Drosophila melanogaster: one gene and its partner. The protein of the gene in region 1 purifies or fractionates together with the protein of each later gene. This does not show direct contact. Each region holds a gene or a part of one and is shown on either strand. Other genes may lie near its edges.

Region 1 (3,557 bases):
GCTGCGACAGTTGGCCGGCCATTAATAAAAAGATATTTCAACGCACTTTTCACTGGTCAACCTGTTGACAGGCGCACGCGTTTGTCGCTTGAGTCTTTCGTTTCCCCGCAATGATAATTGTTAGAGGAGGGGGGGGGGGTATAGTGAGCAGGTGGGCCGGGCAAGGCGTTGCAATAAAACAATTTTTTTTGGTATTTGGTTTTTTCCTTGCAAGTTTCAAAACACCCGACGGGAGTCGATATGAATCGAGCAAGTTGCTCAAGTAAAATTAATTTGAAGTGCAATTGAATGCTGAATGGCGATCGGATGGTTGGGGTAAGTTCGCAGTTGAAAATCATTGAACAAGCAGTTTTTTGTGAAATGCTCGCATCTACGAACTAGCAATACTATCTGGAATCCTTATAAATGCGAATAAAACTGATCACTTCACGCTCAACTAAACTAAATTGAAAATAATTCCACACTTCATAAATAGACATTTGTCCCCTTAACAATTAGTTTTGAGTTAAGTGGCTTACATTGCGAAATGTGTGTGTGTTAAAACGGCAAATTAAAATATTTCCACATTACTCTGAAAATTCATATTGCTTCCAAAACGTTAGGTATCGTAAAGATTTCATTGAATTGTGTGTAGTAAGGCATATTTGGATATGGATCTTAAATATCCATCCGTCATAATTTCAAGTGAATATTTTTAAACTAACATATATAAGCAACCAGTAAATGAAATAAGCCATCATATTCGTTTAAAGAGTCATTTATCGTTTATTTACAAAATGTTATGAAGCCACAATGCATGGAGTTGCACCATAATAACAAAATCAACGAAACTTGATCCTTCATCAATCTCTCTCGCTCTCGCCGCCTCCCGTTAGTTGTCCTTAGTTCTCTAGTTGTCTCTGTCTCCAAGTGGGTGTCTGGGTTTTTGAGGGATTTTGTACACAATTTGTATTTCCGCTTCTGACTACGAAATGCAAATTCAACACTTTGACGGCAGCAAAATGCGAATTATCCGCTTAATGTTCTCACTTCAATCGGGGTCGTCAACGGGGGGCTGGTATCCTTTCCGACATCCAGATCCTTAGTGCAGGTAGGCTCCGTGTCCGTAGCCGGCGTATCCCAGACCGTAGCTACCGTAGCCGCCATAGGATCCATGGTAGGTGGAGGTGGAGTGCAGAGCAGGCACGGCATGGACCAGAGGAGCGGCATGGACCACTGGAATGGCCTTGGTGGCCACCTTGTAGGTGTTGGCATAGGAGGTGGCCACCGGGTGGGCGACAATGGGAGCGGCGTAGCTCTTGATGATCGGGGCGTGCGAGATCACAGCCGGAGCGGCATAAGCCGGAGCCAAGGCGGCGCCGTATCCCAGTCCATATCCATGGCTGTAGGGCGAGATTACTCCGGCATTGGCCACGGCGCACAGGGCAGAGATGAGGGCAATCTGCGGAAAAGAAACTTCTATGTTAACTTCATACGAGCGGTAATCCTTTAATCCTGATCTTACCAGTTTGAACATTTTGCTGGTTTTGTGTTGTTTGGACTTCTTGACCGAAGAGCTGAATGTGTTATGCTTAGACGTCTCAAGTAGCCCTGTTATTTATACCCGCAACATGAGAAATATTCTGACAAATCTTGGCCCAAAGAGCGGCGGAGAGGGAGAGCCAACACGCCCCTTTCGACGGCCGAGAGCCGAAGCTTTGTGCATTTGCCGACCAGCAGATCGCGAAAGAGATCAGTCACGCGGCGGCTTTGGCTTGAGCCACTGAGCCACCGCCAATTTTAGCCACCGAATCCCCAAGATTTTCATGGAGAACCACCACGAGCACTTAATTCAATTTGTATTTTTTTCGTCAGCTATTGTCGGCGACTTTTGCTCTAACGGAAACTTTTATATTTCCATTCATTTCGTCGTGGAAATGAACAATTGTCTTCTGGGGGTTTCCAGCTGAGAAAATTCTACGGCTAAATCTGGTTTTGCCTATTAGTAATTTTGCAATTATTCCAGTGATCTAAATTGGCCATTAAGTAACATTTCCTTTGAAAGAGCACTTAAATTTATCTATGAATATTGTGTTTTATTCAAAACCGTTGAATTCACGTGTTCAAATTATTTAAATATAAGCCTGCAAGCCTATTAAGCATATCTGCCTAAATCCTTTCTAAAACCGAAAACACGCACTTTATTATCAATCAGCTGACTGACTGACTGACAGCTCATTAGAGATATAGAGATCCGTAGGTGTGGAAAATGTTGTTGTCCAGATGCAAATGATCAATCGGAGCTGCCTCTCCACGCAGCAAATAAACTCAAGTGGTCCATGAAAAATTACTCACTTTAATAACTGACAAACACAGAGTGGAGATTGGTGCAGTTGGTCATTTTGGTGGCTGCTGGACGGCAGCTGGTTTGCCTATATTTTGCATGCATTAATATTTAACTGATTTGTTATCGCGCACATGGCGTATGCGTAACTTGGGTGGAAGGAGCGTAGTCAATTGGAAACATAGGTAAATCATATTTGCCGCATTTCGAATGGCCTGCCAGATTTCCTAATAGCCATGCTTAATTCTGAAACAGCTTTGAAATCATATCACGGGATCAGTCAGAACACGAGGCTCGAAAAGAATTGCAAAATGCTTGTTTTGAGCCTTGAATATCGGTGTATTGAATCAAAGAGTTGTATAAAAATCGAAATTCTCTCAGGGCGAACAAAGACCGACTTAAAGTTTATGAGTCATAAATTAATAAACAATTACGATGGCGACAATTCTTTCGACTCAGCGACCCTGGCCATCGTTGCTGATTGGACCCCAAATGGACAATCTGCATATCAACGGGGCTTAGTGCTAGTCGAATCTAAAACTAAGCCGAACCCTTCACCAAAGCCAACACCTCGTGATTTCGACCCGTGGCGTTATGCAAATGCTAACCAAATTGTCGCATAAATCTCAATCGAAGGCGGCTTGATTGACACCAAACAGGATGCCAAATTGCGTGGCTATCTATCGATCCGCAGCTACAAAACCAAATATGCCACCCACTCGGTTGTTTTGGATTTTTGGTTTTATTCGTGCTGGTTCCGATTGCAGCTGACCACCAAACTCTGGTGGCCTGTAATTGCATTTTAATGGCCTACCAATTGCATTCTGTTTGTCTGCTAGCCATTGAGCAACGTCCATCCAATGCATACATTCGATTTTGATTCAGATTCGCATTTCCCAAGCGACGCCCAAAATACTTTGATTGCCAACAAATCATTCAAAAGTCGAAATTAAAAGCCGTCAATTTTCCAACTCAACTCGTGGCTCAACTCAATATTTTTTCCTTTCGTGATTTATGCGATTTTTCTGGGGAAATAGTCGGACCTGAAATTTGTCCGCCCCATTCTGGTTAAGGAAATTTCCCAAGTCGCAAGTCTGGAGTTCGCAAATGGAGCAGAGGTGACTAGTTCGACTTACATGCATTTGATTAGACCAGCTTGTGACCGCAATGAGTTATTATATATTTTTTGTTATAGTTTAACATAATTGTCGGTTGGGTGGAGGCCAATTTGCAT
Region 2 (5,216 bases), on another chromosome or scaffold:
CATGTTCATTAGGATTTTTTATACATTGCACTTAGTAGATTTATTGCTGAGTTATATAACGAAGCTTTTGTTTTATTATATAGATGTAATTTATAGATTTCAAATAAATACATTTGGTTAAATTATAATTTTTTTTGTCGAATTCACCACTGCCGTAATAAATAAATGTTTAGAATTTATTAAAGAAATTATCCTTTGTTTAACTTCTATTAATTAATTCCGTATATTTAAGAAAAATGTTTTCCTTGCAGTTGCAATTTGCTGTTGCTGACTGCACCCCCATTGAGTCAATGGTTCTTTTTCCATTTTTTTTCATTGCTGCTGCTGCTGCTGGCAGTCAACCGGTTTAACTAGTCAAGTCCGCCGCCGCCGCCAGACTTTGCACATAAATTGCATTTTATTTTAAAAACCCGGTAATAAATTGTTTCATTTATAATTAGAATTTTTGCCAAGCTGACAGTCCGTGAAATCATGTTTGAAGGTGCGAATACCAAACATACTCGTATGAAACTCCACTTGCGGGAGTTCTCAACTATTTTGTTATGGATTCGATATCGTTGTGGTTGTTGGTGCTGCCCCTCTGGTTGACCTTCGCATATTTTTCGGACAGGAATTTGTAAGTCGCTACGATTCGCGTCAGTTTATTGGCTCAATTGCCTGCAAAAACAATGAACGTCGACGTCGGCGATGGACTTGGCACCAAAACGTAAGGTGCGACGCATCGCATGTGGAAATCTTCGAGCACATTACGTTATTACGTTATAAGCGCAAAACAAAAGCGACAACCAGCAACAATCGGACAATGGGAAAAACAGACATTACAGTTACAAAACGAAACGGAAAATATGCGACGAGTAGCACACAAAAGACGCCGGCGCACAGTGGTACAGTTATTAAAAGGATGGTAACATAATAATCCTTATATTGACGTATGAACATTGCAAAATTCATATAATTGTTCTTAAAACATCAACAAACTAACTTTTCAAGCAAATATGAAAACTGAGAGTATAACAATTCATAAACAAAAATAATAATAATAATCTTCAAATATCTCAGAGCTTAGCCATTCTAATTGGTATCACTTCTTTTAAGATTTCATCATAATATCTGAAAAAATTGGGTAAAACTTTTATTGTAACTAGTCAGTTAGTTAGTTATTGTGACTAGTCACCTGGTTTTTAAAATATATTATATATGAAACAATACGGATTAGTGAAACGAATTATTTGCTGAGCCCAAAGTCACGATCCACAATTTTATGCTCAAGAACATTAAATAGCAATAACCCACGGTGCAGCAACGCCCCACAAAGCAAGTGAGGCATCAGCAGCACCAGCATCCAAGTACCGTATGCAGCACACTTGCTGTGCGCACTCTCACTCTCACTTGCTCTCTTTCCCAAGCTCCAACCTCCTTCCATCTTGCTCCAATAATCTCTCTCTCTCTCTCTCTCTCGCACTCGCTCACACTGCCACAGAGACTGCAGCTTTTATTTTCAAGTCCAACGAAAGTGAAATTGCTGGCGCACCCCTTTCCGCCCACTATACCCCTCTCTCTAACACCTTTGCCGGTGGATTGAGGAAATGAAGTAAACATGAAATTGACATAATCAACACGCAGCTGGAAACTCTGCAAATGTCTTTTGACGAGACAGAGACAGCAAGAGAGGCACCAAGAGCTACAACAACAGGTTTCTGTGTCGCCCTGTTGATATTGCTTTTGTTGCTGTTGCTGTAATGCAGTGAGAGAAAATAATTACTCGGAATTGTATGATTTATGTCATATATGAATATTATGAATATCTTGATATTACTTTTTGTAGTACTGTTATTTATCAATATAATCCTTACTAATATATTAATAAAAATATTAGTAACTGTTTAAAACAATTTTTTCCCGTGCTAGCTTTGTTGTTGCTGCTGGCGGCGTGTGTTCAATGAGCGCTGGTGCGTGTAAATATGTAAGAGTTGCCTTCAACCGGCTTTTTCGTGCAACTTTTTTTTTTAGTTTTTTTGTAGCAGTAGTTTTTGTTTTCATTTTTGCGCTGGTCAGTTTGGTTTGAATCATCTGGCCATATAGGAAATGAAACGGGAGATGAAGTAATCCCAACGCCTGACATGGAAATTACATAGGCAAAACGCATCACAAAAATCAACCTGATGCACACACGTCATACAAATTCAACGACAACTAAAAGGGCAGGCAGGAAAATACAGTAAAAGGAAGGGGTATTAAAAAAAATACGCTCTTTATGTACGCTTTCGCGGAAAATACAAAAAAAAGGTTTAAAATTGCTGGAAGTTGTTATAATCAATTTTCTTTTTCATGTTTTAATAAATATCGAAATATCAAAGGTTTAGTTACTCCTGTTACTCCTGTAAGGGTAATAAAACATTGTGTTGGGTAATACTAAAGGGAAAATGTGCATTAGAAATTACCAACACAATTTTCCCGCTCCCACCCACACATACACCCATCACACATACGTTTGAGGAATGGCGGACTCCCTCTTTAGATGTTTGGGAATTTTTTTGTTTGATCTATCATATTTTATTTTTAGTTCTCGGTGTCTTTTAAGTCTCGGCAATCAGTTTGTTACCCAAAAAAATAAATAATTTATTATCCATTGTTCAGCATTCTATTTTTGCTTGAGTATACCAAACTATTTATTTACATATCTTATTGAATTTTTGATAATATGGATTTTGGTATTTTTTTATTTATATTTCTACAGAGAAACTTTTATTTGTATTGCTTCAGAGAAACTTATTTATTTTTGTTATTGTATTGCACTGAATATTTCGCACTTTAGTTGCAAAAAAATAAATTGCAACATTTAATTGCAACCAAGTTGATTAACTTTTTTATGTTTAAGGCAAAAATTTGCTGGCTTTAATTATATTTTATGTGCGCGCAAATTGTTAAGGTTTTTCGACACTGTTGTTTGTTTTAAGCTTTTTTGTTTTATTTTTGCAGACAACCACGAGGAGCAAAGCATAAATAACTAGATGAGCTTCAAACTTAATACCGTTATTTGCGTTATTATAACGCGGCTTTTGCGGTTTCTTTTTGTTTTGGCAAACTTATTTCGGCTTGAATTTTCGATTTTTGATTTTTCTCCACTTTTACGAACACGGTGGTTTTGTGCATGGCATAACACACAGACAAAACAAAAGCAAACAAATAAAAACACAATTCGATTTCGTCTTCGCTGCCTCTCGTTGTTTTTTTGTTGCAACTGATTTAAAATGCGCAGGCGCGGCGGCGACTTACAAAAATCTGCGTCCGTTTCGAGAGCTTGCCGTCGATCAACTGAACGCCGAGAGCGGTGAGCAAAAGACAAAACCTTCCCAAAAGAGAGCAACAGAGCGCCAAAGCTCCAAAGCGATGGGAGCTTTTTGCTCGACCGCTAATTGCAGGCTTAAGTGAGTGTGAATTTATGAAGCAGTCATGTCGGAAAGTCAGAAAATCAAAAAAAAAATTATTAAAATAAAAAATATCAAAAAATCCGACAGGGAACTTGGGCTATATCGCCAGGGCTATTCCTGATCAGGGACCTTGTCCGACTCTAGGCTGCCACACTTTCCAACCGCAAACTGGTTCATCTTGGGCCTGGCCTCACACTAAATTCACAGCCGAGCGGCAAATTATATACTTTAATCAGCCGGGCGAGAATAGCATTGGCACCTGTCACGAGGAGAAATAATATTAGTATAAACAGCTGTGCTCCGAAAATATTAGAACTTGCATTGTTACAAAAAAGGAAACAAAATAAAACTCTCAAACGTAATTTTATCATCTGACATTTTAATTTGGTTGATATAAATTAAGGCCCACTTAAAATATTAATGTATAATGCATTACTGGACATAAAAACAAAAGATTTATTTATAAGGTAGTATGTTAAAATGAGACATTTATTATTAAACCAAAATAAAACTTAATGAAACGTAATTGCATTGTATAATCAAAAATGCAATCGTTATAATATCAAAATTTCAAATTTTAAATTGCAATTTCCACTTTTCATACAACATTCTTTAATTTAAACAATTATGTCAGAAAAAATAGGTGCCAAATATTGGATAATATTAAAACGAATCCTCAAAAACTCCATCTTCGCAGCATTCCAACTTAAAAACCCCCAATACTTTTTCCTTTATTTAGTTATTTGCCAGCTGCTACTATTGCTAATTCAATTAGCATAGAGACCCGTCTGGTAATTAATATTTAATTTGCTAATTGAATTTTTACTAGCGACTACCGTGCCACGCACCAACGCCAAGCCAAATCACCAAGTTAGCCTCCGTGATCTCTGTTTATGTCCAGTCAATCCATCCGACTTGTGAATCTCGACAGTTGCAAATTTGGCTGGTCGACGCCAAAGCCACTTTTCAGCCGCAGTATGCTAGATCTTGTTGTCTTTGCCTTAGTAGTGAATCTTTTATGATGTGCAAAATTAGCCATAAAAACATACATAAACAAAAATGTAAATATTGCTGTAAAATCAGTAATTCATTATACGTAAGGCTCTCTAGAGTTTAGCCGATGTACTTAGTCTTTGGATTTAAAAAAGTATTATTCTGTGTTTGGAAAAAAATGTGGTGCTTAAAGCTGGCTGAAAAACTTCTAAAGTCGTATAACTATTTTTACAGCATGCAATTTATAAAGGAAGTATCTAAACTACTGAAATATTTACTTTATGTTAAAAATGCTTCGAAAAAGGTTTTTAAAACTGGTGTTTAGTTTTTTTTTTTTGCTTATTGGCAAACGGACTTCATCATAATCGATTCCCTAGCTACGAATAAACTTCCGCTACGCAGTCCAATGATTCATTCCCATTAAAATAAATATCTTGGGGCAAACCAATTCTTTTGACTGCTCTCACAGTGAATTCGTACACATGTTTAGTCACCACGAGTTCGTCGCCAAAGTCTTTTGTTCTAGCGTCATTTATATGCAAACCTATCACCTTGATGGGCGATAAAAACCAGAAAAGTCTGAAAAACATAAACAACAGCATCCCGGACCAGTGCAGCAAAGCGGTGACCACAAAGTTGAAATTAACGAAAATTCGCGCGGCAAGGTCAGTTCAAAGCGGTCAACGACTGCAGGCCGCACGGGAATGGCCAACATGAAATGCCCTTTTTCGAACAACAAAAATTTATCGATTGCAAGCAGTAAATAAAAATTATTCAGCAATAAAAGCGAAA

What was found. Proteins that work in one complex are often made in the same cells at the same time.
Region 2: the proteins of CG4962 (region 1) and mol purify together in Drosophila melanogaster (affinity purification with mass spectrometry, with the first as the bait; one large-scale study listed by BioGRID). This does not show direct contact.

The regions. Positions count from the first base shown.
Region 1 is NT_037436.4:16,293,968-16,297,524, forward strand, and holds CG4962 (uncharacterized protein), read right to left. Parts: upstream 1,581-3,557; 5' UTR 1,517-1,580; coding exon 1,505-1,516; intron 1,442-1,504; coding exon 1,082-1,441; 3' UTR 744-1,081; downstream 1-743.
Region 2 is NT_033779.5:14,994,240-14,999,455, forward strand, and holds the start of mol (moladietz), read right to left. Parts: upstream 3,321-5,216; 5' UTR 3,277-3,320; exon of another isoform or gene 2,475-3,276; intron 1-2,474.